4 linked regions of the Elephas maximus indicus genome follow. The protein of the gene in region 3 interacts with the protein of the main gene of each other region in a pairwise test. Links are inferred from orthologs where the notes say so. Each region holds a gene or a part of one and is shown on either strand. Other genes may lie near its edges.

Region 1 (7,832 bases), on a different chromosome or scaffold from region 3:
TTATCATCCCTGTCGTCTATAATCAGTAGTAACATTGCTACCCTGCAAGAATTTAGCTAAGAAATAGTTTAAGTAGAACAGGATCTTGTAAAAACTTGAGCCTTACGACAAAGTCATTCATCACTTTCTAGCCAAGCAACTGGACTTAATATGGTCTCTTGCCCTTTTCTGTAGGTAATCTGTATTTCTTTTTTCCAATTAATAGTTCAAAGAAAGGATGGAATAATTCAGGTTTTCAAATCCTGCCAGGTATTTCATGATAACTATTATAGGTGAATATAGGGTTCTACTGAAGTATAAGAATCTCATGCAAAACTGTAACAAATGACATCTCATTATGTTAGGCTATTCCGTTACTTTCCATATTTAAACATACTAAAGTGGCAATAGTGACTTTTCATGGACTTCAGCATCTGATCTCAGGCACTTATAATAGAAATAGAGCTGTGGTTCGATTCTGAGTTTTGGCCACACAGGAGTGCCAGGTATTTCGGAATAAACGAATTCTACATGTTTCTGGCTGTTTGGAAAGTATTGCCAGCACGCTGTTTGGTGTCAGTTCAACAGCCACTTTGTGCTGAGAATTAAGAACCTCAAACTCAACTAATGTTTTACTTCACAAAGTTCAGTTTAACTGAAGGATTTACCATTTGTCTAAGAAAAAAGCCACAGAGCAATTTTTATCAAATAGCAACTACTACAAAAGGAATGACAGAAAATGACTTCATGAAAACACTCTAAAATTTTGACAATTTTATGTAGGAACTGCCAGAGTTTTAGTGTTTAATAACAGCACAACAGACCAAGGTCCGAGATGTGAAGTTTACCATATTCAAGAAAAAAAATTCAAGAAACTACAGGAAAAATCACTCCGAAAACTAACTATATGATTTACGGTAAGAACACACACTTTATAATATAAAACCTGTCTACACGTAGTAGTTAGGTGCAAAAAGCCATTCGGTCTTCTCTTGGCTTGTAAAAATTGTGTTCCAGACCTCACTGTAAACTATTAGCAACCTGTTGAAAAAGGGAACACCATCAAGATGTTTTTCATTATATGAGGACAAATAAAAATGATACACAGAATTATCAACTAAAAATCCTTTCAGAATTCTCTAGTGAATAAAACATGTTTTCTTTGTACAATATTCTAGCAAAAACACAACTGGTTTAATTAGAACTTTGTAAAAAATTGTGACTATTTCCTATTCCCACTGCTTTGTATCTTCCCTGTCTCTCCAAAGTCTTCAATCCTGCAGTTCTTAAGGATGTTCTCAATTTGCTTTATGGGATATCTGAATGCCAAATCACAGAAAAGACCTAGAGAAGTTTATAAAACTAGCAGGGCATTTTCCAAATTACCCATGTCAAAACATGAAGTCCACAGGGGGAGAGAATAAAAGGGATGCTCGCTGGGGCCATGGCTGGGAATTCATCTAGAGAAGTTTATCTACATCAAAATAATACTTAAGAGGTACCTCTCTGTACTCTCCTTTTTTCCTTCTTAAAAATAATTAGCTCCTTCCTCACCTTCAACTCTTTTGTGTGGCAGGAATCTTGTTTTCACCTTCCAGTTCTTCCACCCCAGCCTGGGTCATGAGGTCTGCAATATTTTTCTCTAGATCATCAATGCGACTACTCATGTCATCAAGTGATCAAGTTAAAGACAATGAACAGCATTTCCACTTCCCCATTTCTTATCCCCTTTTTCCAAGGTCCTGTACTATGGCCTTAAACACAATTGTGTTAATGAAACTGGTTTTCCAGTTTCCTCTGGATATTCTGAAGAGTACAGGAACCTGGGGCAAGGATGCCCAGGATCAAATCCTAACCCTGCCCCTTGCCAGTGATGGGAGCCTGGGCGAGCTTTTTCACTTTACTAAACTTCAGTTTCTTCATCTGCTAAACAAAGATGGTGACAGCATCACCTATTCATAAGGATCTAAGGAGTAGACACAAGAAGTGTTTGGCTCACAGTCAGAAGTCAATCACATTAGCCATTATTATGGGAAGATTGTAAGTTCCCTGTGGCCAGGGCTCTGTCTAGTTCAACTCTGTGTTCCTAGCCCTTAGCACAGCACTTCTGGGGAACAGAGGACATCCAGGTAATCTGGTAAATGGCAGGCTGAAACTGGTCTGCAAACCACCCATTTTATCTACCGAAACAACAACAAAAAACCAGTTGTCCAGTGGATTCCAACTCAGCGACCCTATGGAGCAAAGTAGAACTGCCCCATCGGGTTTCCAAGGCTGTAATCCTTATGGAAGCGGACTGCCACAGCTTTCCCCGTGGAGAAGATGGTGGGTTTGAAGCCCAGTTAGCAACCAGAGTTTAATCACTGCGCCACCGGGGCTTCTTAGGCATCTACCGACTACCTGGCAAGTAGGATCCAAGGCCCATTAGAGGCTGACACGAAGTAAAAGGATATTTCTTCCAATGATCTGGTCGGACATGGTCTGAAATTTATCTTGCATCTGTTGCAACAGTGTCTGGACCTAAGAGAAGAAAACATCCTTATCCTGAGGCACCTTCATGGGATCAAGACAGAAACCTGGTCTAGGAGTGAGACCTGGACCCCGGGCTCCAGCCCCAACTCGGCCTCTTGGCGGCTCTGCGACCTTTAGTCAAAAACTTCCTTCTCCGACTTCAGTTTTTTCTCATCTGTTAAATCAGACTGAAGGCCGGCGGAGCCCCTTTCAGGGTGGGCCCGCTGTGGTTCAAAAACGGCAGGGTTTTTTGGTTGTTTTTGGCGACTTGAAGGCATCACGCACACATCTCGGGGGTGCGCCAGAGCTGAGGGGTGAGCATGGGACGTTGGCGGGAGCATGGGGGTCATCAGGGGCCTTCAGGGGCAGGAGGAGACACACCCAGGAGGGGTCTGGGGCAGGGAGAGGTCTACACCGAGGGCCCCGGCGGGTCGCGGAGGCGGCGAAGCCTCCAGAAACGTCTCGCGCCGCCGCCGCCGCGGGCCCCGGGAGGCGCCCGCGGAAGATGGCGCGTCCTCGGGCCCGCGCAGCCGCCCCTTACCACCGAGGTGAGATCCTGCATGTTCTTGGGGTCGGTCTCGGCCATCTCCCCGCTTCCCAGCTTGGCGGTGATATCTCCGACCGTCACCTACACTTCCGTTTGTCCGCGCAGACGCCCCCAGCGGCTTCTTCTCGCGACGAGAGAGAGAGAGAGAGACCGCGAGACCGCGGGGTATTGTGGGAGCTGTAGTTCAAGTCAACGCCACGGAAAAGCCCCGAGCTCTCGCCTTTGTAGATACCCCGGTGGCTTAGTGGTTAAGAGCTACCGCTGCTAATCAGGAGGCCGGCAGTCTGAATCCACCTGGCGCTCCTTGGAAACTATACGGGATGGTTCTACTCCCTCCTATAGGGTCGCTATGAGTCGGAATCCACTCTACGTCAACGGGTTTGGTTGTTTTTTCTTCCGTTTCTGGAGCCCTGGTGGCGCAGTGGTGAAGAGCTCAGCTGCTAACCAAAAGGTCAGCAGTTCGAATCCACCAGCCGCTCCTTGGAAACCCTTTGGGGCACTTCTACCCTGTCCTGTAGGGTCGCTATGAGTCTAATCTGGAAAGCAAAGGGTTTGGTTTTGGGTTTCTTGCCCTTATGGTACTAAGCGAGGCCCCGCCCTTCTCCGCTCACCTCCCCCCCTCCACGGTCGTCCTCGCCCCACCCCTCCTCGCCCTAACCTGTCTCACCCCGCCTCTTCGGCTTCGCCCTCCGCCTTTGGCCTTACCCCCCTGCATTGCCCCATTTCCCACCCCGCCCCTGCCTTGCCCGTCCGGGCCCTGCACTGCCCTGCCCCTGTTGCTCTGCCGCCACCTCTCCCCGCCCGTCTTTAACTTTCCCGTCCCCGGCGCCCGCCCCTCTGATCTCCTTTTGGGCCTCTCCCCTATAGGGTCGCTATGAGTAGGAATCGACTCCACGGCACTGGGTTTGGTTTTTTTTGTTTTTCCCAGGCAGAAAAAAGTGGAACAAAACCGGATCCTGGCAAATAGGGAATGCCCTGACCGTCTTCCCGCAGTAGTTGGGACGGCTTTGGCTTCCTGGGGTCGATTGGACGAACATCCCGGGCCCTGCGACTATCAGCCCAGCTGTGCGCGTCCCCGCGCTGTCACCGCTCTGGCATACCTGAGTCCAGCAGAGGGGCTGGCCTACTGTCCCTTTCACAGGTGCACCTGTGCACACCAGGTAGACCTATGTACCTGGAGGGGCCCTCAGGGCAGAGAGGCAACCAACGGTCCGCCATGCCAGTGGCTGCCAAGCTCTGGCAATGCCGGCCCAGGTGGGTCTCCGCTGCCCCGGGGCCAGGTGGCTGGTGCGATTCTAACTTTCAGGTACTGTCTAACATGCCTACTGCAAAGTGCAGAAATCCTACGTGCCTCCGGCTTAAAAACATGGCCAGCCCACTAGGCCCTCTCCTACCCGGCAGAAGTCACCAAGCCCTGACTTTTCACATCGCACACTGGTCTTGCCTTTGAATTTCATGTAAGTGAAATCAGACAGTGGGCCTCTTTCAGTGTCTGGCTTCTCTTGCAATGTGATGTTCCTTGGTGTTGTTGGGGAAGGCTTCTTTGGTAAAGGAGGGGACAGTGTCAGGGGGCTAAGAGACTGTGGGTTTTGGTGTTTCTTGAGATTAGAAGCTCAATCTTGGGGTTCCCTATTACCAGCTTTCCTGCCCCCTCCTGCCTTCTAGTCCTTGCCCCTAGGCTGGTGTGCCCCTTTAGTCTCATTTTGTTTTATGGGCCTGTCCAATCTTCTGCTGAAGGGTGAACCTCAGGATTGACTTCATTACTGATCCGAAAGGGTGTCTGGGGGCTCCACTCTTGTGGGTTCTCCAGTCTCTGTCAGGCCAGTAAGTCTGGTCTTTTTTTGTGAGTTAAAATTTTGTTCTACCTTTTTCTCCAGCTCTGTCCTAGACCCACTATTGTGATCCCTGTCAGAGCAGTCAGTGGTGGTAGCTGGGCACCATCTAGTTGTACTGGACTCAGTCTGCTCACCTGGATACTTTTGTCTCAGTGTTTTTGCTTAATCCTCAGAACACCCCTGTAATATAATTATTATCATTTTACAATTCTAAGAACACAGTCCCAGAGGGGCTAAGAAACGTAAACAAGGTCATCCAATTAGGAAGCAGTAGATGCAGCACTTGAACACAGGACTTTCTGACTCTACATCTTCTGCTTTTTCTATCATTCCAGAATTCCGTGAGTTTTCTGAGCTTCGAGCAGGGTTTCTCAACAGTGGCACTGTTGACACTTGGGCTGGAAAATTCTCTGTCATGGGGGCTGTCCTGGGTGTTCTAGGATGTTTAGCTGCATCGCTGGCCTCTATCTGCTACATTCCAGTAGCACCTCTAGCGTGAGAACCAAAAATTCCTCCAGACATTGGCAGCATCCCCCAGGGGCAAAACTCCCTCCGATTGAGAACCCCTGGCTTAAAAGGGTCTGTAGACGCTGCCTCGAATTCTGTGTACTTGTTCTTCGAACATGAATTTGTTCTTGCTCCGGCCGTTTCTTGAGAATGTTCTTCCATCTATGCTGAGATTGAAGGCTGGTGAAGTAACATCACCTTCTTCCATCTGTGTTGTGCTTGTTACTTTATAAAGAGTTTTCAGAAACCTCCAGTCATTTAGCTACCAAGTAGCCAAGGGGAGGTAGGACCTCCCCCTTCTTACTTTAGACCCCATCATTCAGGGCTACCACCCTCAGCGTGGAAGTCTGGGTACCTGCACCCTGGACACCGAAGTTGTGAGCCACCCTGGTTTATGGCCTTTGAGGAACAGAAGGACGTAAATTTGCATCAGGACCTGGAGTATTTTTTCCCCCTCTGGCAGGAGACTTGAGGTTTTTTATCCTGTTTGAAATTTTCTTTACATAAACAGCAAATAAACTTGGCATTCTTTTAGTGGAGGTTTTTGTTTTGTTCCTTTGTTTTTCACTTCAATAGAAAGACTGTATAGTCTGTGTGGCAGAGACCACAGGTCTGTTAAACAGCTGCTTGGTGTGAAAGCTTCACTAATTTATAGTCATGGCTGATATACTTTGTGGGGCTGACACGCTGAACCTAAACTGAATATTGTCCCATTAAGAAAACTAGTGTATTATGTGTAAGGCACTAGTAATTAACCTTTTAGACTTCACTTTTCAACAACCCTCATTTTTAACCTTTATTTAAAGTGTCGTAGTTGTCTTAGCTCCTCTTAGCACTTTTTTTTTTTTTTTTTTTTACTCTTTAGCTCTTTCTAGATTAATTGCATGTTGTAATTCTCTTTTCGCCTTTCAAGAGGGTTTGGTTTTACATGGGCTTAATATGGTGCTTTAATAATAGCTCCTTGTTTTGAGCTGGAATGCTCTCTTTTTCCAGATATATGCTGAGGGGGTGTTCCTGTACAGGTGTAGTTGCTCAGCAATGAGATTTTTGCTTGTCTGTTTGCTTTGCGTAAGCAGATGAGGAATGGCGGCGGCGGTGGTGGCTCGGTGGTAGAATTCTCACCTTCCACGTGGGCGACCTGGGTTCGATTCTTGGTCAGTGCACCTCATGTGCAGCCACCACCTGTCTGTCAGTGGGAGCTTGTGTGTCGCCAGGATGCTGAGCAGGTGTCAGTGGAGCTTCCTGACGACAACAGACTAGGAACAAAGGCCTGGTGATCTTCTGAAAATCAGCCAGTGAAGACCCTATGGAGCTGTGTGGTCTGATCCACAGCCGATCATGGGGTTGGCTCAGGACTTGGCAGCATTTCGTTCTCCTGTGCGGGGGGTCACCATGAGACGGAGCCAACTCAATGGCAGCTAACAACAAGCAGAGAAGACACGATTAGAGAAGGGATTTAGAGAAACCTTGTAATCTGTTCTTTCCGTCGCTGCACCTGTATGGGCTCAGAGTCGCTGTGGTTGCTGCTTCTGCTGCCGAGAATCCCACACCTGAGTGAGCTGGTGTCACAGCAGCTCAGGATGTGGGGCCTTATCCTTCCAAGTGGCCTGGCAGGCCCCCTGCTCTCGCCCTCCAGTGGTCATTTCAGCCTTTGCAGTCTCTTCAAACCCTAAAAAACCAAAAACCAAACCCACTGCCGTCGAGTCGATTGCAACTCATAGCGACCCTATATGACAGAGTAGAACTGCCCCATAGAGTTCCCAAGGAGCGCCTGGCGCATTTGAACTGCCGACCTCTTGGCTAGCAGCCATAGCACTTAACCGCTATGCCACCAGGGTTTCCTCTTCAAACCCAGGATAACCTTATTTTCTATATTGTGGAGTAAATAGAGCCGATCAGTCAAGGCCCCTTAATTCTCACCCTCCACACCTACATGTTGTTGAAAGAATAATTGGTCGTGGAAGGTTGATGAGGAGGGGTTGGGGATTACGGAGCTTAGATGGGTGGAGGGGCAGCCCCTCCATTGTGATTTCAGGCTAGAGGATCATGGAGGGAGACTGGTGCACTTGGCAGCTGGCAGGTGTTGGAAGTTGCATTTCAACATGTTATACTTACTCTGTTTTCATGCAGATAGTACATACCTTCTGCATTGGTTTGCCAGCCTCCATCCCTCTCCCCACCCAGGTATTTTTGTAAGCACCACTATGCCAACATTTCTTTACAGCAACATGTTAAAAAAAAAATTGGCATAGCGGTGCTTAGGAAAATATCCCACGGGCGGAGGGAGCCACTGACAAACCAATGTAGAAGGTGCGTGTTATTTGTGTAGAAATACACAAATACTGCTCATGAGCCCTCTTGAGGACATTGCCACTTCCCTGACTTGCTCTCGCACCATCCCCTCCCCAACTTTGCCCCAGCCACACTGCCCTTCTTGTTGGGCCCCTGACACA
Region 2 (7,405 bases), on a different chromosome or scaffold from region 3:
TTCACTATACTATTCTATTTTTATGTGTTTGAAAATTTACATAATGAAAAATATAAAAATGGAGAGTTTAATAATAGTACCTACCTCACAATAATTGTGGATGTAAAGCAATTATCATCATTATATTAGGAATTCACAAAACCTAATTATTACCACCAAAAAATCAAACCCACTGCCGTTGAGTCAACTCCAACTCATATTTTTAAATATCCCACTTAATCAACCCAAAAAAACCCTATGAAATGCATAATCATCATCTTGATTTGGCAGATGAGGAAACCAAGATTTCGTGAACTTAAGAAGTCAGGAATCCTGCAGTCACCCCTGGGCTGCAATGTTATCTGAAACCAGAGTTATCTGACTCCACCTTCACCCTGCCTTTATTTCAGTAATAGCTCTTTTTGTTCTACTTGGCTGAGATCTTTACGATTATGATATCATTCATTCATCTAAGCCAGTGGTTTCCTAACTCATTCCTCAGCAGCAGAACCCCTTTTTCCAAGGCAGCCTTACTCAGAACACCAGTAAGGAAAACAGATAAAAGCAGAACAGCTCTGTCGAAGTGAGGTCTGGGACCCAGAAATCAGGCACTTGGCTCCAAGGTGGCCCTGAAGCACTGTAGGGTCTATGGAACATACTTTGAAAACCCCAGATTGAAGCCAACAACAGTAACAACCCAAATCGTAAGAGTCACATAGTAAAAACAGCCTTCATTTGTATAATGCATCTTTTGTTTTCCTGTAGCCCATCACATTTGATACTCATTATCACCTCTGAGGTGGACAAGGCAAGGCACATCATCGTCAATTTGCAGATGAGAAAATCAAAGCCAAATGAAGTTAAGCAACTGGCCAAAAGTGCACCAGTTCCATTGTCGGCCAACTACAGACTGGAACTAGAGTCTGTCTCCATTAACTCCATGTGACCTGGCAGAAAGGGTGCCATCTACTGGAAATTGCTACTGACTCTCGGCCATCAGGAGCTGAGCAGAGCCCCATAAGCCCCTCTGCCAAGGCCCTGTCCCTGAGCAGATGGTTATGGCAGGGGCAAGGGGCTCAGTATCACTGGAGGACCAATCCCATCAGAGCCATGTCGTGTTGAGCACATGGCTGGGGAGACAGTAATAGCCACAGTGTCCTTCACCCTCATCTGCCACAAGTAGGTAAATGCAGCAGGCAGGGCAGATCTGTGTAGCAGTTACACTTTGCCTTTCTTCTAGCTCTTGCTTGGAAATCCCTGAATCCAGAGGCAGTGATAATTGCCTGAATGGCTCCCCAACTCCACAGCATCTCTGAACCGAGCCGGAGCATGTGTTGGGATCGGTAGCACTTAATTATCACTTAGTCTTTATTAGCACTTAATTATTAACACATAATCCATCTGTAAAATGGGGACACTAATATCTGCCTCATAGAGACTCTGGGAGGATTAGTTAACGTTTGCAGTCCACTTTGAAGATGCAAAACATTGAAGAAGTGCTCAACGGTGGCATAAATAACCACACTGGATTTATGTTCTTTTTCTAATGAGGTCCCTTCTTCCTCTCTGCTCCTCCCTCTCCTTTTGATTTTCCATCCCCAACAATATCTGCCCAACTTTGCTCTGTTAGAGAAACTCTGAGCTCCATATTTCCCAGTCATAGGATTCCCTATCTAGGAAATGGGCTATTTACAGCCATCTTTCCACACTTTAATTTTCTATTATGTCCTCTGAATATGTCAATGCCTTCCCAGTAAATATTTTGATGTGAGTTTTTGCAGCGGCTTCTGTGGAGGCTGAATGGGACAGCTGCTCCCTGTATTAGGGAATTCCAGATGTGATTTAAAATTACCAGACTCATCTGTGTGAATGCCCAGCCTTTGAGGGATGGGAAGAAGGAAGGATCTTCTGGTTGACTCTGGGGAAAGCCATGGGCTTCAAAAGAGATAGCCACCTAACCCTCGGCCTTGGCTAGGATGGCTTTTCAAGGACCTCAGACACAAATCTGGTTTAGGTCTGCCTTTAGAATGAAAACATATTCTCTTAGTGGACTGGTGAAGAGGCAGCCTGGAATACAGCCCTGGCCTGATCCTTCATCCACAGCCATGATCAGCTTTTCTCTCTAAAGCATGGACGAAGACCATGGTTGGGGAGGAGAAGTATATAGCTTTAGGATGTAACCTGACTTAACAATGGGCCAGAACATTCCCCCAGCAGGTCAGGTCTCATCTCCTCCCTCTTCCCTTGGTACCATCCAAGCAGGGAGACACTTACTGTTCTTGGAAGCCAAGTCCATTGTTTCTCGAAGTCCCAGGCGTGGGGGCAGAGAGCTGCTCCGTCCAGGTCCTGGGCTGCATGGCCTCAGGCAGGCCCTGAACCCTCTTCCAGATTTCATGGCAGGTCTTGTCTAGGCTGTCTTGGGGTGTGTCATGGTGGATCCAGATGTATCTGGGGAATGGGCCCAGGGCGGAGGGAGGCTTGGCCACCAGGGCCGAGGACGAAGGGAGTCCATTCCCACTGGCCATGCTCCTCCTCTCTCTCTGGAAGCCCCTTTGTCCACCCAGAGCTCGAAGACTGGGGGACCATCCACCACTACCCCTCATTCACCAGGAAGGGAGATGAGGATGGGGCCTGGCAGAGGCAGGTCAGTTCTGTCTGGTTGTTGCTCCAGCAAGGTGACTATGTTCAGAGGCCCTCGATTTGGGTGTGAGTGGTGGTGAGTGAAGAGCTTTCTTTTGGGGAGGGGGAGCTTTGTGTGATTTGTTTTTATTTGCTCTTTCCTGACTTTTGCCCCCCTCCCCCTCTCTCTTAGAAGAAAATACTTAAAAGTCAACAAAAACCAGTAGCTTAGTAACCGTGGAATCCCCGGCAGCTCAGGAAGCAGGCGCCTGGGCGGGCAGAATGACATCTGGGAACAGCTGGAGGGGGAAGGCTGGCTCTCCCCCACAGTCCCTGACACTCCCCCCTTGCGACACACCCCTGGCACCTTGCGGCTGCTGGGGCTCAGCCCATTCTCTCCCACTAAGCCAGCGGATGACCTGTTAAGAGCCTGGCACCGTGTTAGGCACGGTGGGGGCAGGAGGCCACCATTAGAGTCTCAGCTCCGCCTTCCCAGGGACCCCCGCGCAGCCTGAGGGCCAACGGCCCCTGCCTTCCCTCCCCCCGCTGTGTCCCCTCTTGCTCGCCCCACTAGCCCCCGCCTGTACCCTTCTCCAGGGGTTGTTCTGCCGCCCTCTAGAAAGAAAACTTCAGCGGGTAAGTCTGGGGCGCGCTCTGCGGCCTTCCGCAGCCCGCCCCCAGCACCTCCAGCAGACACCTGCCACGTCCTCCGAACCGGGACGCGGGGATGGGCACCAGGAAGGGTCCCTACGCCTTAAAAGGGTGCTGTTTCCGTCGGGAAGGCGGGGCGAGGCGGCTTTGGCCTGTTTGCGTGCCAGTGGCTCTCACGACCTTGCCATCGAGCGGTGGAATTCTTTTTGTGGGTTTCAAATGCAACGGCTGGGTGCGCGGGGCGCCCCAGGTTCGGTGCCCAAGGCCCTCTGCCGCCGCGGGCTGGGGGCGGGTGAGGCGGCGCCCCGGTGGGGAAGCTTTCCCCCATTAGAAGTTCACCAGAGGAGACAGGCTGCGGCCTCGGTCAGCTACCAAACACAAACGTCGCGCCAGCCAGGGGGCCTGCCCCTTTGTCAGCCAGATTTTACCGCTAACTGCCGTTTCAGTCAGGCGCTTGCCGTGTGCCAAGCTCTGAGCTTTCTGCGTTCTCATACTTGATCCTTACAAGCTCCCGCAGTTACTATCGTTTATTATCGGTCTGCATATACAGAAACGGAGGCTCAATCACAAAGGGATATGTCTATGACCAGCTAAGAAATGGGGAGCTGGGATTCAAACTTGGGCACTCTAGGCCTGAGCCACTGAGATAGACAGCTCTTTCCTGTGCTTCATTGAACTCAGAACTGAATCAGCAAACTCGGACAGGGGCTCTCTAGCCTCAGGACTCAGTGGTTGTTCCTCCAGAGTTTCCCCAGAGAAGGAGGAGCAAGAGGTGAAGAAAGGAGAATGGATGCAAATAGGCCAGCTGGCAGCCTAAGGAGGTAGGGCTGGGTTGAATCCTGAACTGTCACTTCCAAGCCCTGTGTCCCTGAACAGCTTTCTTGACTTCTCTCATCCTCATTCATTCATCCATTTCCCAAATATTGGCTGAACGCTTCCTCCATGCCTTGCTGGGAATTGAGGAAACATGAGAATAAACAAAAAGCATGGTCCCTGCTCTTATGCAGCCTATAATCTAATGGAGGGAGATAGACCACAGACTAGCCAAGCAAGTAAATAAACATTAATTATAGATTCCTGGTGATTCAGTGGTTAAGTGTTGGGCTGCTAAGGGGAAAGGTCTGTGGTTTGAACCCATGAGCTACTCTAGGAGAGAGATGTGGCAGTCTGCTTTTGTAAAGATTACAACCTTGGAAACCCTATGGGGCAGTTCTACTCTGTCCTATAGTGTCGCTCTGACTTGAATGCGACTTGATGGCAATGGGGTACAGATCCCTGCATGGCACAAAGGGTTCAAAGCTTGGCTACTGGGTGGCACAGGCAGTTTGCACTTAACCGCTCACCTAAGAGTTGGAGGTTCCAACCCGCTCAGTGGCTCCATGGAAGACAGGCTTGGAGATCTGCTTTCATAAAGATTATAGCCAAGAAAACTCCATGAAGGAATTCTACTTTCTAACACATGGGGTCCCCATGAATTCGGGGCTGACTATAGCAGCTAACAACAACAACAACAACTAACCCTAAGACAATTCGAATGCATCCGGAGGTGCTTCTAAAGGCCTGATACTTCTGAAATGCAGTGTTGTTCCACTTTGAAACACATGTGGTCACCGAAAGTTGGAATCTACTTGAAGGCAACTGGTTTGGTTTATTTATTTATTTATGTTTAAGAGATGAAATAAGGGGCACGTAGTGGTTAAAAAAAAAATTTTTTTTTTTTTTTTTTTTTTTTTTAGTGGTTAAGTGCTACAGCTGCTAACCAAAGGGTCGGCAGTTCAAATCCGCCAGGTGCTCCTTGGAAGCTCTATGGGGCAGTTCTACTCTGTCCTGTGGGGTCGCTATGAGTCGGAATCGACTCGACGGCACTGGGTTTGGTTTTTGGTTTGGTGATGGAAACCAACAAGTGAGGCATGAGGAGGGGAAGGGGAGAGGGAGAGAAAGAGGGAAAAGGGCAACATTAGATGATGGTCCAGGCAGGCTTCTCTGAGAAAACAGAAGCATGAGAGTCCTTTTTCTGTTAAAATGGTGTTCATTATCATGGGAATAAAATTTCTGGCACACAGTAGGTACTCAATAAATATGTGTTGAATGAATTAATGGTATACTGTATGTAACGTGCCTGGCATACAGTAGGTGCCCAATACACGACCGTGCTCTTTACAGAGGAGCTGAGTTCCTAGAAATGTTGACTCTAAATTTTGAAATCCGAGTTTCATTCCCCTTTGATTTTCATTATAAAGTTGAAGATGTGTTCCTTTGGGGAAAATTCTGAGGACCTAGACTGAATAAAATTATAGTTAAGAATGTAGAAAACCTTTTAAGATAGTGTATTTAAAGGAAAAGTGATCATTTCTGATGAAATATTAATAGTTCTGAAAATGTCACTCAGTGTTTGTGCTGCTTGGCATTTGGTTGGCTAACACCCTATGCTTAGAGCAGAACGCCAACAATCCTGCGCTGCCCAGACCACAGATTCTGGAAAGTTAGCCAGCTTACTCACTCCTCCTGTTCTCTCTCCTCTTCAGCAGGAGACTGGGCAACAGGGTCTAAATCAGAAAGGATTAGGAAAAAAAAAAAAATACAGTAGGGACTGTGAATGAAGGTTTGCTTCTTGGAATATACAGCTGAGGTTTCTAGAAGATTCTGCAAAGACCTCAAGTAATGTACTTAGAGAAAGTATACGCTGCATTTTCCAATATGATAGCCACTAGCCACATATCTGTTTTAAATTTAATTAAATATATTTAAATAGAGTTAAAAATTCACTTCCTCAGTGGCACAGGCCACATTTCAAGTACTCAATAGCCATGTGTGGCTAGAGACTATACCATAGTGAACAGTGCAGAAGATATTTCCACTATTGCAAAAACAGATTCTTAAGCCGGACTGCCTGAGTTCAAATTCTGAGTTCAAATTTTCTGGCAATGTCAACTTAGACAAGTTACCTAACCTTTATGTGCCTTCATTTTCTCATCTGTAAAATAGGGATGATAATAAAGAACACCCACCTCATAGAATTGTTGTACCTGTGTAGATGTTCTATTATCAAGTAATTACTAAACACATGGAAAGTCCCAGGAACAACACCTAGCCCATAAAAGTGTTGTAGTTTGCTTGCTGATTACATTGAAATGCGTATCTCCAAATCACAGGCCTTCATGTTATGTGTGAGGAGGGAGAACTTCACTTGTACTTTTAGGCGTACTGGGGAAATTGCTCTGTGTTGGAGGAATGGAATCAAAGCATCACCTGAGCCTCCCAAGGATCTGTTCCTTTTGAGTATTCATTTTCTGCAGCTTCTGTTAACAAACTACCACAGACTTGGTGGCATAAAACAAGAGGAATTTATTTTCTCACAGTTTTGGAGGCCAGAAGTCCAAAATCGAGGTGTTGGCAGGGCCATGTTCCCTTCAGAAGCTCTATAGAAGAATCCTTTCTTGCCTGTTCCAGCTTCTGGTGGCTCCAGGCATTCCTGGGTTGTGGCTGCGTAAGCCCAATCTCTGCCTTCATCCCTTCTGTGTCCCAAATCTCCCTCTGCTTTTCTTTTGTAAGGACACTTGATTTAGACCCCATGAAGATGATTCTGGATGATCTTGTCTCAAGATCCTTAACTTAATCACATCTACAAAGACCTTTTTTTTTTTTTTTCCTCCTAAATAAGGCCACATTCACAGATTTTAGGGATTAGGATGTGGGCATATCTTTTTCAGCAGATGGCACCTTTCAGTTCACTGTGAACACCTACTGTGTGTGGGTCAAGACTGTGCAAGGTACAGGAGTTAGAGATGAGTAAGACCTCTACTCTAGACAAAGTCACAGTCTAATTAGGAAGGAAAAACATTCCATAAGTGCCTGATTGTAAAAACGGGCTAGTAGTAGTAATAGTAACACCATCACCTATCTAAATTCAGGGGAGACAATGTGAATCACCATCAGCAAAAAGCTGATCCCTGTGAGGTAGAAGTCAGACATACCTCCTATCTCCAACCTTTTAACCAATTCTGACACCAGCCATCCCTCCCATGGCACTCTCTACTGCTCATCTGGGTTTGATAACCCATTGCAATGACCACACAAAATGACCACAAAAAACTCACAGATTGTACTTACAGTTGAGTGGTTTATTAAGGAACAGGGTGCCACTCGGGATCAGGAT
Region 3 (7,424 bases):
CCCAGTTCACCCTGTTGTGATGCTGAGCCCTTCTCACCCCAACATTCACCTGCTCTTGGTGCAGCCTCTGAACTTCCTCCAGCTCCCGCTGGGTCCCCTCTTCCAGGTTCTTCCGGATGACCTCAGCCCCAGCCAGGGCAGCCCGCAGGCCCTCGGCTTCAGCTCGGCCTGCCTTCTCTGCCCGCGCCAGAGCCTCCAGCTCCATGGCCTGGGATTCTAGCCTTATCTTCTGTTGCAGTGAGGTCTCCCGCAGGAGCCGGATCTCCTCCTCAAACTGCCGCAATTCTTGCAGCTGCCGAGAGATCAACTCAGCCTGCTGGGTCAGGGCCTGAGACCCCTCCAGGGACCTTCAAAGACAGGTTCACATAGGTGAGATGTGTTTCTGGTACTGGGAGGTTGGACACAGATACTCGGGCCTCTCTGCTCCCACCCAGGGTCATAGGAGACAGGAAGAGGCAAAAGATTCCTCTGCTCCCATTGGGGTAGGCAGGGGCATGAAGATGGGCCACGGGGCCTCTGCAGAGAGGCATGAGGAATACTACACAGGGATCTCTATATTTACATCACCATCACCATTCATTGAGGCCCTGCACATATCAGGTCCACTGTCTGGGCTTATAAGAAGCCCTGGTGGTGCAGTGGTTAAGCACTCGGCTGCCAACCTAAAGGTTGGCAGGTCAAACCCACCAGCCACTCCATGGGGGAAAGATGTGGCAGTCTGTCTCCATAAGGATTACAGTCTTGGAAACCCTATGGGGCAGTTCTGCTCTGGCCTATAGGGTCACTATGAGTTGGAATTGACTCGATGGCAGTGGGTTTGGTCTGGGCTCACAGGACCTAAGGGCTAGTTGAGGTCATGAGACATACACCTAGAGAGAGCCATATATATATATTAAACATCAAATGCACACAAGGGTCGCAGTAGAAGAGGAAAGCAAGAGGTGTGGGAAACAGTGTGAATAGGGTATGCCATTAGGAAACACATTCTGAGTGGAGAGGTTGGAAGAACACTCAGAGACTTCTGAATTCTGATGTAAGGGCAAGGAAAAGTTCGAAGGAGGAGCAAAGGTATAGCACTCATGAGCTTCTAGTACCAGTACAGTAAGGCCAGGGGTTAGTTAAACGCACCTAGTGAGTGCTCAGTATATTACATGAGGAGTCAAAGGGGACAGTACATCAATAAATTACATAGACCCTACCTTTGGGGAGTATATAGTCTACTGGTGTCGTGTAAAGTTTAAACTAACTCATAACAAGGCTCTTGCGATAGCTTCCTCATTGAAGCCCAAAACCAAAAGATTTTTCAGAAGAAAATTAACTGGGCAAAGGTCTGCCACTTGGCAGCCAAGCTAGCATTAGAGGGTCTCCGTCCCCAGTCCAGGGGTCCCTCTTCTTCATTATGGTCCTTCCTCTTTGGTGGGGTCCAAGGTAGACTCATGTGTGTAAGCCCACTCTAGAGCAAAATGGCAGAATGACATTCCAGTCTATTTGGGGAAAACACACATGAAAGGTCAAAAAGTTTTACAGACAGCACATCAACAAATAGCATGGCAGCTCTAAAGCCATGTCCTCTGTAAATGCTTTCTTCAGCTACACCATCAGAATGACTCCATACCACCACAGTTGTTAGGTGTTGTCAGTCGATTCTGACTAATAGCGACCCAATGTGACAGAGCAGAACTACCCTATACGGTTTCCTAGGCTGTAAATCTTTACAGAAGCAGATCGCCAGTCTTTCTCCCTCAGAGCCACCGGGTGGGTCGGAACTGCCATTCACTTAGCAGCCAAGTGCTCAACCGCTGCACCACCAGGGCTCCTTCACCACCACAGTACCAAGTCTATACTCCTGGTCTGCACATCTTCATGCTTATTAGGATCACCTGTTGACCAATCTGTCTCCTTCCCCAGGATTTTCCATTCCTTAATATCAGGATCTCTCATTCATTTTTGTTATCCTCATCCCTAGCCTTATTATTTATGTGTTGTAGGCACCCAATAGTTGTTTATACAAACATGAACAAATTATGGAACCTAGAGCTGAAACAGGGTAAGGAATCTGTTTTGATGGACGGTCAAAGGCAAGCAAGCCTGAGAAAACGACAATGATGGATCCCTACCTGACTCTCCGCCCTGGCTCTTGCCCATCACCAGAAGCATCCCGTTCCCACATTGGCACTTGAGGTCTCAAGTTGTCTAGCCGCCTCTCTGAGACATCTTGATGGGCTGGGGATTGGACCAAGGGAATGTCTGCAACCCAGGTGGGAGCCATTCTTGGCAGAGTTGGAAGGGACCGAGCTTGGAAGTGGGATGGGGGAATTAGCCCAGTGGAACCTGAGGAATCACAAGGGCACAGATGGTCAGTTTCCCAGGGAGAGGCAATCACCAGTCCCCTGCCTAGTCCCACTGACCTGAAGGTCGCAACGTCTCCACATTATTTGAAAGCTCTAGATTCTGTCTCCAGCCATCCATGTTCCCCTGGACAATTGGAGAAAAAAGGACACTCCAATTCAATTTTCAGTCCTACTTCCAAAAAGAAAGCCCCTACACTAACAAAGTCATCCTTCCTAAATAGCAGCCAGGTCCACCCCACTCTCACCTACTCCTATTTCCTGAAAGGAGGAGCTGCAAATTCACTTGGTTGTCCCAACCAAGATCCTGACAGAACTCTGGCAATAACCCCAGAGATGGAGGAAATTTACTGAGAGACAGCCTGAGGAGGGATGCACTTAGGTTCTACTCATAATTTTAGGGTTCTCGACAGTGCTTTTACCCTCTTCCTTAAGCTTCTATAGTCCCTGCTGGTCCTGCGCATCGAAGTTATGGATTCCAAGGGCTGCGAGCCCAATCTCCAGAGTTCTCTCCATGGCTCAGCAAGGCCTTGGGGAAGCCCATCCAGGCACCACCAAGCCATGACTCCTGGGTCCTTCCCTGTAAAAGCCCCTGCCCAAGGCCTGGCCCCAGGTGAACGTGGCCACATGTGGGGCAAAACGCCTCCCCGGGATCCCTGGGAATACAGCCAGCAAGATCCCTAGGCAGAAGGCCGTCTTTCTGCCATCTCATCCAAATCCTCCCTGCAACCTTCCTCTCAATTTCTTTCTACTATGCCCTCAGCTTTCATTCCTGTTGCCCACTCTCCCCTCTCCAAAGTCCTGGAGCATACAGTTAGCTCTTCAAGATCTTTTTCCCACCATCCCACCCCAATTTATCTATTTTTGACTTAATCGGGGACCTACTCCTGTCCCTCCCTACCTCCTAATCTGTTTTTACCCTGAAGGAATTATCCTGGCTCTTCACTCTCACCTCCCAACTCATCAGTGTACTTTCGCCCCCTGCACTCCAGCCGATGCTCGGTTCTCAACCCCGCTCTCCCCAGACACCCGCTTCCCCTGAGCCTTCACCCTCAGGGCGCTAAGGCTGTTCTGACCACCTCATCTAGCCCCTGTACCTCTTGTTTCCTATGGACCCCCTAAGCCCACCCCCGCACCCCTTTCAGCCCCTTCCCGCCCCCAACCGACTCTTCTCGAACGCCCCTTACCCAGCGCGAGAACACCCCCTCTGCCTTAGGCCACACCCCCTACGCCCAGCTCCGGGGCCTTGGACTCCGCCCCTGAGTGCGCCTGCGCAGAGCGGGCCGGTTTGTGGGCCGCTCCAAAGCCAGATTTCACCCCGGAAGGAGGGGCGAAGTGTACGCAGGCGCAGTAGCGTCTAAAACTGGGTCCAATTACAGTGTTTGAGTATCTCCGCGCCCTGGTGGCTCCTCCCAACTCCGGGAACCCGGGAAAACTTGTGAACCAATCAGAAAAGGTGAAAGGCGGGAGTGCAGGGATACCAGTGCGCTGCCCAATGGGATGAAGCGAGGACAAGAGAGCTGCCCAATCAAAGGCATCAGGGGGCGGGCCCCCTCTGCGCGAACTGGAGACCCGGGAATTCCGAAGGAGGGGTCGCGTCAGCCCGCGCACAGAGGCCCGGCCCCTCCTGGCTTGGGCACCCTCGCTGTCAAACATCTGCGGGAGCGCGGGTCCGGGCCAAGGAGCCCGAGGGGTCCTGGGGCCTCCGCACAGACCGACACTGTCTGGAAAGGAGACCACTCCGAGATGTCACTGCGTGGGTAGATCCGAAACCGGGCTGGGACCCGGAGGGAAAGGGCTGAATTAGTCTTGCGTGATTGCGGGGAGCTCCATCCGCTGTTTTCATCCCACCCAGGGAAACTGGGAAGCAGGGGTTTAGATCTGCTTTGGTGAAGAACTTGGGGGACTTCTCGGGGGGTGACAGTGGATTCGCTTCCCACAGGGTTCCAAACTAAATAGTTCCGAGTGAGGATTAACCAGAAAAGCGGGATGCGGGCGAGCAGAAGGGGTACTCCATTTGGCTAAGCAGGTTTGACAGGAAGCTGCTTTTTTCAAATTACACTGAGGTGATGCGCTCTATTGCACAGAAGCAAGCCCCCACTCCCTCCAGTTGGCATTTGCCCAAAAGCTGCCTAAGGTATCATTGCTTTGCACAGATTGGAGACGTTCCGATTATTTTGCGGCCTGAGGATCCGGCTCAACTGAGGTGCCATAGGGCGTGTTCCTGTTTTGTCACTGCACCAAGGACCTTCCCCGAATTTTCCAGTTGCAAAGCTGCTGGACTGCCAATTTTGCTTTGCATGCCTAGGCTCCTTGTCCCCTGAAATTCCCCTACTCAGGGAGTGTGCTCCAGGTTGAGTATCACACTCGGAAGAGAACTTGGACCAGCCATACACGACCCAGGACCGGCATAAAGTGATGGATTCCTGAAGTGGAAGGCGTGGTGCAAAGAAGCACCGCCCATGCTGCCTTGCTTCCAGCTGCTGCGCATAGGAGGCAGCGATCTCTACACCTTCCACCCTCCCACCGGGGCTGGCTGCACCTATCGCTTGGGCCGCAGGGCCGACCTGTGTGATGTGGCTCTGCGGCCCCAGCGGGAGCCCGGCCTCATCTCCGGGGTGCATGCCGAGCTCCACGCTGAGCGCAAGGGTGATGACTGGAGGGTCAGTCTGGAGGACCACAGCAGCCAAGGTGAGCAGTGAGCAGGGCGGCATTGCCCCTGAAGGGTTGCAGATCCAGGCTTTTGACTAAGGGGCTCCATGGGGGCTCTGCCTGCCTCCAAAATCCTTGTCTGGTTGGATAGAGCTGTGGTCCAGATCATTTTCCCCCCAAAGGGGTGGTGTCAGAAGCTGTCTGTAGGGGGCTGGGAAGTAGATCCGGTGCCTGGGACATCATCAGGGGGTATGTCTGTGGCCATTGGGGGCCAGACTCAGACTGGACCGTTTCCAGGTTTGTTGAGGCACCTGTTTCCATCTTAAGTAGTTGCATTAAATCACAATTTAATAATGGGAGTGTATCTTTTTCTCCCTGACTCAAAGGTAGTTATAGTCTCAGCCTCAGAAGGCCCGGGTTCACGCCCCAGTTCTGCCACTGGCTCCTGGTGAAACCTCAGGCCTGTCACGTCACCTCTCTGGGTCTTAGTTTCCTCTTAGATAAAACTAAATAGTAAGGCTTAGTGGGTCTGCTTTGGTAGGTGTAAGGATTAGATAATTATTGTAGCTAACACTCATTTAAGACTTCCTGTTTGAACCAGACACTGTTTTAAGTGCATTGAGTGTAGGGGGGCATTAATATCCCCATTTTACAGATGGGGAAAATAAGGCACAAAGAGGTTAAGAAACTTGTCCAAGAGCACAGAGTTGGTAAGTGGTGGAGCCAAGATTTGAACCCAAACAGCCTGGCTCCAGAGCTATGCTGAGATAATAACTGTACTTTGAATTGGAGCTGGGTGAGAGAGCTTCCACTGAGATGGAGGCATGGACCTCAGAGAGAGGAAAGGAATCAGCGTGGAGAGCACAATAAAAAAAAACTTGTTCCCAGCTCACAAGCTGCTTACTATCTGGTGTCACCACCTGAGGGGCTTAAAATATGAGGGAGGGAAGAAGGACAACAGCATGTCATATTCCTCCTGATGGGCCCCAGAAAATCGAACAGGTCTAAATTTCTCCACTCCTGACTCTGGTCCTTTCTTTTTTGTCACTGTCTGTATCTGTCTGGTGCCCCACCATCAACAGGGACCTTAGTCAATAATGTCCGACTCCCAAAGGGTCACAGGCTGGAGCTGAGTGATGGTGACCTCCTAACCTTTGGCCCTGAAGGGACCCCAGGAACCAGCCCCTCCGAGTTCTACTTCATGTTCCAACAAGTTCGAGTCAAACCTCAGGACTTTGCGGCCATTACCATCCCACTGTCTCAGGGAGAAGCAGGGTCCGGGGGTGGTTTCCAGCCGATGCTGCCCTCTCAGGGGGCTCCACAGCGGCCCCTCAGCACCCTCTCCCTTGCCCCAAAGGCTACACTGATCCTCAACTCCATCGGCAGCCTCAGCAAACTCCAGCCCCAGCCTCTCACCTTCTCCCGGGGTGGGGGTGGGCCCCAGAGCCTACCCCTTCCCACTCCCCCTGGGGAAGTGGGGACCACCCCTTCTGCCCGAACCCCAGCCCCCAGAAACCGGAGGAAATCAGCTCACCGAGTGTTGGCAGAACTGGACGATGATGAGAAAGGGCCTGAGAGCCCCCCGCCAGTCCTCATGGAGCCCAGGAAGAAACTGCGAGGAGAGAAAACCCCACCGACACCCATCGGGTAAGTGGAGAGGCCTTCCGATCATGTCTGCCTTCCAGCAATATTTCACTGCTTTCTAATTCTGTTTCAGAACCCCAGGCCCTGAAGAGGCCTTCTGCTTGGGGGTGGGGATGGGAGGTAGTGGGCAGAGGTGGAATTGATGTTGGAATGGCAAGACCTGGGCTAGCTCTGCTGACAGAAACAATATATATACAGGACACAGCAAGAGTTAGGTGGGATGGGGGCAGTGGTTTTAAAATAGATCAGCACAGAATTCCTACTTTTACATTCAGACATCTTCAACCCCACTCTTCTAGTGCCTAAGGATGGGACATTTCCAGGCTCACCCCACACATTTTCAGGGACTGTTTCTAGATCCACCCTACAGATTTTGAGGACCGTTTACAGGCTCACATTACAGATGTCTTACCAAGAGTTTATCTAGATTCACACTACAAGCCTCCAAGGAGTTTCCAGGTTCACCCTGCAGTTACCCAGATTTCGAGGCTTCTCCTACAGTTTTCCAGTGACCCTCGTTTTTGTGTCTTCCCCTCAACTTCCTAGAAACCGTCGTGGGCGTCCTCGGAAGCACCCAGTGAGCGCCCCCATGGCCCCCCCTGCAGTTGGGGGCGGGGAACCCTGTGCAGCTCCCCGCTGCTGCCTGCCCCAAGAAGAGACAGTGGCCTGGGTTCAGTGTGATGGTTGTGACACCTGGTTCCATGTGGCCTGTGTTGGCTGCAGCATCCAGGCAGCCAGGGAGGCAGACTTCCGATGCCCAGGATGCGGTGTTGGCATCTA
Region 4 (8,071 bases), on a different chromosome or scaffold from region 3:
CACACACATTCCTACTGGTCTTAGGCATAAATAATTCTATTTTTTTAAATACACTCATGAGTCTAGAAACAGACTCATGCATATATGGACACTTGATGTATGACAAAGGTGGCTCTGCAGAGGAGTGGAAAAAGGGTACCCTTCTCCAAAAGTGACTCTAAGTCAACTGAATATCCATATGGGAAAAGAATACAACTTGATCCCTACCCCTCTTTTACACACAAATAATTTATTCTAGGTAGACTGTAGATCTAAATGTGAAAGGTAAAAACAACACAATTTCCAAAAGATAACATGGGGAAATATCTTCACGACCTGGTGTAAAGAATGGTTTCTTAAATAGGAAACAGGAAGCATAAACCTAAAGGAAAAAAATTATTCACCAAAAACACCATTAAGAGAGTGAAAAGGCCAACCACTGACTAGAAGATATTTCCAACGCATATATCTGGCAAAGAAGTTATACCCAAAATAAGTATAGAACCCTTACAAGTCACTAAAAAAAAAGACAACCCAATAGAAAATTAGACAAGTGACAGACACTTTCCAAAAGAGAATATCCAAATAACCAATAAATGCATAAAATGTGCTCACCTTCATTAGGAATCTGTGAAATGCAGATTAAATCTACCAAGAGTTACACTACACTCACCTATTGAAATAACTAAAATTTAATAGACTAGTAAAATCAAGTGTTAGAATGTAGAGCATAGGAACATAAAATGCTGGTGGGAATTTAAATTGATATAACCATTTTGACAGTGTCTACTAAAGCTAAATATATAAATACCATGTGATCTAAGAAGTACCAAAAGGGGTGAACAAGTATAGTCATAGCAAAACTATTCTTAATAGCCCCAAACAAGCCAAATATCTATCAAGAGTAAAATGTACATATAAACAATGTCATAGTCATACAATGGAATACTATAGAGCAATGAAAATGGATAAGTACCTCTACAGAGAGCCACATGAACAAATCTCACAAACATAATGTTGAGTTGAAAAAGCTACTCACAAAAGAATAAACATTAGACATTCCATTTATAATACATTCAAAAGCAGGGAAACCTAACTATAGTGATGGAAACCAGGAGAGTGGTTACCTTTGGAGAGTCAGAAAGGAATAGTGAACAGGAATGGTCATAGGTAGGGTTGCCAGATAAAATACAAAACTCAGTTAAATTTGAATTTCAGATAAACAACAGATGATCTGTTAGTATAAGTATATCCCATGCAATATTTGGGACATGTATTTTTATTTACTAAATCTGGCAACCCTAGTCATGAGGAACACTAGGAATTCTGGGAAGGTTCCATTTCTTGACATTCATTTTGTAATCATCCATTGTGCATTTTTCTATACATTGTGCTTCACAGTAAAAGGGTAAAAAAAAAAAAAGAGCAAAAGTACACCAGTACAGCCTTGCAGATTTTAAAATATCTCCTCCAACCACTGGTTTTCCTTCCCACCCTTAATCATTGCATGTGAGAGCTGTGATACTTCTGCAAGTGGTGGGCATCAGTAATCTGAACCATTGTGGGCCAAAAGGTGTGGGCTTCACTTTCAATTTTTATTAAAATTACTTTTACACAGCATGCTTTTTTACTTCTGGAATCTTTTTTCATTTTTCATGCCCTGCCTCTCTAGGCCCATTCTTATTTGGATGGCTGGCTTAATCTTACCAAAGGGCCGCGCTGTGCTGGAAGGCCAGCCTCTACCCACCAGGCAAGAAATGCGCAAACCAATATTTTTGACTGAACAGACGCATGGGGGGGTCAGAATCCTGTGGACTGAGGCTACAAAGCTGACCAGTACTTTAGAGTCATCGACTTGGATACAGACATGTTCAGAATTCATAAAGTCAAATGCTTAAGCTTAGAAAGTTTATGAACTGCTGTTGTTAGTTGTCTCTGAGTTGATTCCAACTCATGGAGACCCCACATGTATACAGAGAACTGCTCCATAGGGTTTTCTAGGCAATGACTTTCCAGGAGCAGATAGCAAGGGCTGTCTTTCAAGGTGCTTTTCAGTGAGTTCCAACCGCCAACCTTTCTGCTAGTAGTCCAGCACTTAACTATTTGCAACATCCAACTGTTTGCTCCATCTAGTTCCTTCCCATTGGTTTATTATTTACCTTTTCCTGCAGACACAACTGGCAAACCCAAGTAAAGAACAGTGACCAGTGCAAACAAAAGCCTGAATGGCTTTTCTGCTCTTGTTTAAGTAAGGTGCTATTTATTCACCTGAATGTTCTTAAGGTGAATAAATAGCACCTTACTTAAACACCTTTCTTAAAGTTCTTCAATGCTCAGAGTATTTTGTGTTGTTGTTGTTTTGTTTTGTACCTTCAAAAAATTCCTCCATGTTTCAGTGCCAATCAGCCCCCATCCCCCTTGAGAGTGCCAGGCTTCTTTGCTTTACTAATGGAAAACTATATTTATCCCTTTCACACCCTATATTGAGGATAAATAATTAGGCTCCTGGGCTGTGAGGACAGGTTGCCTGGAAGATATTCAGCTCCACCACTGAGATTGTGTAGCTCTGGGTCGGTGAGTGACTCTGTGCCTCAGATTTCCCAAATGCAAAATGGAAGTAAAAATAGTACCTAATTCAAAGGGCTGTTGGGAGCATCAAATGCCCTATAAGGCGATTAAAACACAGTTCCTGACACACCTTAAACGCTCAACATTTACTAAGTATTACTGTCATTATCATCATTTACTTTCACGGGTACTGTCGTTTCGTTTATCACCTATAAGGACACTACCTGTGTACCTAATGTAGGAAAAGCACCCAGATGCAGTTGTGGAGAGAGGGGAGGGAGAGATGACAAAAGGCAGAGAAATAAGGATTCCACCAGCCTATGAAGTTTGGTCCAAGATGAGCCCAACCGGCAGGAGGATAACTAGCGATTGGCGGCCACCAGCGGGGTCAATGACTACCCACACTCCTGCCAGGACCTCTGACCTCGGGCGTCCTCACTACTCACGTTGCGGTTGAAGTTATTGCCAGGCAGCAGGGGCAAGGCCATGGCTCTCCGCGTCCGAGGACCCAGGGTCTGAAAGTAGAGGGGCCTGCTTGCAGCGGCTGCCTCGAGGCCGCGTCATTCGACCTCTCGTTACCTGGAGACGGGAGGCGGTGTAACGGAAGGGGGAGGGGCCGAGCCGGGGCTCGGGGCGGGGCTCGGGCGGCAGGGAGGGGCGGAGTTCGGGCGGGGCTCGGGTCGGTCCTCCGGCTGGAGCTAGAGTAGAGGGAGGGGAAGGGGCAGGGTCGGGAGGGCCTCTTCTCCTCGCCCGCTGCTTCCAGCGCCCATCCACACTCAGCCGCGTACAAGTCATCCGAGTCTTCTCTCTACACGCGTTGTGCACGCACAAAGACTTGACAACCACACCATTCTCCGCCCCCCGCTGCTTTATGGTTTAACCCCTTTGTAGAGCTCACATCCTTTCATGTACTTAAACTCCTCCAATACTGGTCCCAACATTTTTGGCCATTTGATTATTGAATGTGGTTATTAAATAGTTCAAACATACAGAAAAGTTCAGGAAACAATACATCCATGTGCTCACTGAGATTTAACACAAGTTAATGTTTTCCTATGCTGCATTTACATCAGCGTTATTTTTTAAATTCAAGTATTCTAGGCTAATCTAATGCCACACATATCCCATCCATCCCCCACACAAAAACCCGTTCCAGTGGTAACCACCATCCCCAGTCCTTCCCCTGTACATTTTTATACTTGAACTAAACGTGTGTAAGGTGCTCATAATCATGGAGTGGCCAGGAGAGGAGTCAGGTGGCACAAAACTCAGCACCTGTCACTCCATCATCTATCCAAGATGCCCAGGCCAGGAACCTCCTCCATTCTTCTCCCCACACCTACAGCTAATCCCTCCCTGCCTTCTACTGTTTAGACACTCTGGCATCGGTTAGTCACCACCTCATCTATCTCAGTTGAGACCCCATTATTTCTTCCCTGGTTTTCCTCTTTAAAAAAAAATTTAAAAAAAAAAAAAAAACCTGACTGATATTTCATCCTTTCGTAACTCGTGATACACCTGTTACTCTTCCGCTTAAACAGCTTTCTAGCCTTCTATCCTTCTTTCAGGAGGCAGGAGGCAGTTGGACTCCTCACCCTATTCTAAACAGCCTTTGCCAGGGTCACCTGCCAACACCCTCTGTCCCTTTCTTTGCCATGCCTGTTCTACTTCAGCTGTGAAAAGCCACTGGCAGCTCCCAGACCAAGCCCTGAGGTTTCTTTCTCCTTTCTGGGGTTTTGCAAATGTCACTATCTACTAGAAACAACCTTTTCTCCTTTCACCTGGGTAAGCCCTCTTGTTTTTCAGGACTTGGTTCAGTGTGGGAGAGAGGCATGGAAACCTTTGCCATTTCTGGGAAATGTTTCTTCACCTTCTTCCTGCCCAACCCCACCCCATCTGTATTAGGTGTCCATTTTAATTGTGGCTTTCATCTTTCTATATTGTAATGACATATTACTTGACTCTCTTTAAATATCCCAAAATTCCTCCAGGGCAGGGTCTGTATCTCCTTTTCTGTTTTGTGTTATTTTGTTTTTTGGTTGAGTTGGGTTGGGTTTGTTTGTTTTAAATTAACATAAAGGTACAGATAGTAATTTAACAAACATACAGATATCCACCACACAGATTAAACATTTGCTAGCATTTTGCCATATTTGCTTCAAATCCTTTTGTTTTTAAAGAAATAAAATGTTATCGATTCTGCTGAAGCTCTGTTTATACTACTACTCAATCCCATTCCCTACTTTTGCACTAGAGGTAACCATCTTAATGATGTTGGTTTGTATACTTCCTTGCAACCATGTTATTATACTGATACCAAAACCCACTGCTGTCGAGTCACTTCCGACTCATAGCGACTCTATAGGACAGAGTAGAACTGCCCCATAGAGTTTCCAAGGAGCGCCTGGTGGATTCGAACTGCCAACCTTTTGGTTAGCAGCTGTAGCACTTAACCACTATGCCACCAGGGTTTCCATACTGGTATGCATTTATTCACAAAAAGTATACATTGTTTTCTGTGTTTACAGCCTTTACACTATAAATTTCTGCTACTTGCTTTTTTCAACTAAGATTTTTTTCAGATTTCTACATGTTGACGCATGTAGATATACTTCATTCATTCTGAATGCATGGTATGACTATACCACAAATTATCTATTCTCTGTTGATGACAATTAGGTGTTTCCAATTTTTCACTATTATCGACTATGATGCAATGAACACCCCTGTATATGTCCTCTTGGCACAGAAGGTAGAGACTATCTAGGGTATGTTTAAGAGCTCAGGCTGCTAACCAAAATGGTCGGCAGTTTGAATCCATCAGCAGCTCCTTAGAAACCTTATGGGGCTGTTCTACTCTGTCCTACAAGGTCGCTATGAGTCAGAATCAACTCTATGGCAATGGGTTTGGTTTTGTTCAGTTTATACCCAAAAGTGCAATTGCTGGGTTGTAGGGGTGAGGCAGTTCTACTCTGTCCTATAGGGTCGCTATGAGTCGGAATCGACTCGACAGCACTCGGTTTGGGTTTTAGGGGTACACACCTTCGACTTTACTAGATCTTGTTAAATCATTTCTAGAATCACTGAACCACTTAAGAAAATTTTTTTAAAAAATCCTCTTTTCTCTTTATCCTTTCCAACAATGGGTGTTATCAAATTTTATAATTTTGGACCATCAACTGAATAAATGTGAAATGGTATACCCTTGTTATCTTAATTTATCTTTACCTAATTACAAGTACAGTTGGTCATCTTTTCACATGCTTATTACTTTCTGTTAATTACCTATTCATACCCTTTTTTACTGGATTTTTCTATTGAATCATGCATGATTTTCTCACTGATTTGTAGTTCTGTGTGTGTGTCTATATATATATATATATATATATATATATATATATATTCATTCTAGACACTAATCCTAGCCATAGCAAATATCTTCTCATCACTTGTGCTTTGCCTGTTACTTCCATTTATGGAGTTCTTTATTGCACAAAAATTTGTCATTTTCTCTACTCAAATGTATCACCCTTTCCCATTATGGTTTGTGATTTGTACACTTTGCCAAAAAGATGAAGTTACTCTCCTACTTTTATTACAAACATTTTTAAATATTTTTACTTTTTAAATTGAAATAATTTTAAACTTATTTTTAAAAGTTGCTAGATAGTACAAATAACTCCTTCACACAGATTCCTTCAATTTTTTTTAATATTTTACCATATTTGTTCTATTATTCTCTCTCTATATACACATGATTTCCCCTTTGACAGTAAATTGCAGACACCATGTCCCTAAATACTTCACTGAATATTTACAGAAAATATTCTAGTACAGAGCTGAAATAGAATTATCAAAATCAGAAAATGATCATTAAGTATGGTTCTTCCTTAAAAAACTAGAACTAGAAATACTATGAGGGAGGAGGAGCCAAGACAGTGAAATAGACAGACGCTTCCAGCAAGCCCTCCTTACAACAAAGACCCTAAAAAACAAGTGAAACGAGTATATTTATGACAAGCTAGGAGCCCTGAATATCAAAGGCAAGCTTAGCAAAAGAACAGAGGGGCAGGGGGAGGAAGAAATGGTTCAGAAGCGGAGAGGAGTTACTGGACCTGAATCATGCGGAGCCCTCAGGCACCATTCCCGGAGCAGCGGTGGCAGACTGGTACTAGCATTCAACCGCAGTTTCCTCAGGGAGAAGCAGCCAGCAACACACCCTACTCACACCTCCGGAAGCTGAGAAGAACGGCGCTCCCGGCAAAAGCTAAGTACTTGCATATATTTTACCGTGCATCCCCAACCCCAAGCCACCTTCAATGGCTGAATTCCCTGGGCCTGAGACAGGCCCTGCTCAGTGCCTAGGGCCATCCTCCTGGCCCTGGAGAAGAAAAAAATTTGCAATTGGGGGAAACGATAATTTGTCAGCTCCACTAACCAGGGGAGCTCAGGACAGAAGCGGCTACTGTCCAGGCATAAACAGTCCATGGACTTTGAGCACCTTTCCCCTCTGCATGGACCTGTGTGGGCCTATTTCAGGAGACAACACCCATATTTGCAGAATCCAACCTTTTTAGCTTTGAGGTGGAGAAGTGGGTGTTTGATACTTGACATTGCTTTGCCTATTAAACAGTGTCCTCACCTACCCACATAGGGGCCTAAGGACTGGTAGCTGCACTCAGATCACCCAGCCACACACGAAAGGGGGTGCAAGAATAAATGGTACCTCCCAGTTCCTACAAACAAAAACATTGGGTACCCATGGTCCATCTGCAGAACTCACCCACCTGCATGCTCTAGGGAACAGGGATGTGCTTTCCTCAGAGACACTCAGGGGTCGGTTTTCTACCCCCTGCCTTGTTCAGAGGGTGACCCCCATTGCAATCAGATGCCAGTACATACACCAATCACCCCTGCCCCCCTAAGACTGTAGGACACAGCCTGTACCACACACTTGATGATCAGCTACCTGGACACCTGAGATGAATTCATACAAGAAAACTGAATGAACTCACAGACTGATATACCTGATAACAGCTCTAGCCATCTGGGGACAAGATGTCAGAGCTCCAAAGGTGAAAATAATCAAGCTAGCTCACTCAAGCAAACCATTTGAGCATGTCAAAACAAAAAAAAAGCAAAGCAAAAAGCTATGACACAGTGAGCAAGCATAAACTAATACAATACCTTGTAGAAGGCTTGGAGAAAGCAGTCAATATCAAGTCACACAAAGAAACAGACCATGATCACCTCAACAGGCTCTCAAAACAAAGAATACAGAGATATTCTAGATGAACGTGCACTTCTGGAATTACCAGAGGCGGAATACAAAATATTAATAAACAGAACCCTTCAAGACATCAGGAAGGAAAAGAGGCAATACGCAGAACAAGCCAAGGAACACACAGATAAGGCAATTGAAGAAATTAGGAAGATTATTCAGGAACATAATGAAAAATTTAATAAGCTGTAAAAATCCATAGACAGAGAACAATCAGAAATTCAGAAGATTAACAATAAAATT

The links.
Region 1: the proteins of CCHCR1 (region 3) and HSBP1 interact in binary tests that used the Homo sapiens proteins (3 or more experiments, as listed by UniProt). The link is inferred for Elephas maximus indicus from reciprocal best matches to the Homo sapiens genes CCHCR1 and HSBP1.
Region 2: the proteins of CCHCR1 (region 3) and C3H1orf94 interact in binary tests that used the Homo sapiens proteins (3 or more experiments, as listed by UniProt). The link is inferred for Elephas maximus indicus from reciprocal best matches to the Homo sapiens genes CCHCR1 and C1orf94.
Region 4: the proteins of CCHCR1 (region 3) and EFHC2 interact in binary tests that used the Homo sapiens proteins (3 or more experiments, as listed by UniProt). The link is inferred for Elephas maximus indicus from reciprocal best matches to the Homo sapiens genes CCHCR1 and EFHC2.

The regions. Positions count from the first base shown.
Region 1 is NC_064839.1:49,799,509-49,807,340, reverse strand, and holds the start of HSBP1 (heat shock factor-binding protein 1), read right to left. Parts: upstream 3,114-7,832; 5' UTR 3,077-3,113; coding exon 3,032-3,076; intron 2,500-3,031; coding exon 2,433-2,499; intron 1,655-2,432; coding exon 1,536-1,654; 3' UTR 1,534-1,535; intron 1,021-1,533; 3' UTR 1-1,020. UniProt on the Homo sapiens protein: Negative regulator of the heat shock response. Negatively affects HSF1 DNA-binding activity. May have a role in the suppression of the activation of the stress response during the aging process.
Region 2 is NC_064821.1:75,208,295-75,215,699, reverse strand, and holds the start of C3H1orf94 (uncharacterized protein C1orf94 homolog), read right to left. Parts: upstream 3,093-7,405; 5' UTR 2,583-3,092; coding exon 2,254-2,582; intron 1-2,253.
Region 3 is NC_064819.1:91,462,610-91,470,033, forward strand, and holds the start of CCHCR1 (coiled-coil alpha-helical rod protein 1), read right to left. Parts: upstream 3,118-7,424; 5' UTR 2,978-3,117; coding exon 2,771-2,977; intron 2,476-2,770; coding exon 2,409-2,475; intron 2,332-2,408; coding exon 2,118-2,331; intron 348-2,117; coding exon 50-347; intron 1-49. Other genes in the region: TCF19 (transcription factor 19), read left to right, coding at 4,811-5,039, 6,083-6,647, 7,191-7,424. UniProt on the Homo sapiens protein: May be a regulator of keratinocyte proliferation or differentiation.
Region 4 is NC_064846.1:128,993,533-129,001,603, reverse strand, and holds the start of EFHC2 (EF-hand domain-containing family member C2), read right to left. Parts: upstream 3,107-8,071; 5' UTR 3,036-3,106; coding exon 2,994-3,035; intron 1-2,993. UniProt on the Homo sapiens protein: Microtubule inner protein (MIP) part of the dynein-decorated doublet microtubules (DMTs) in cilia axoneme, which is required for motile cilia beating.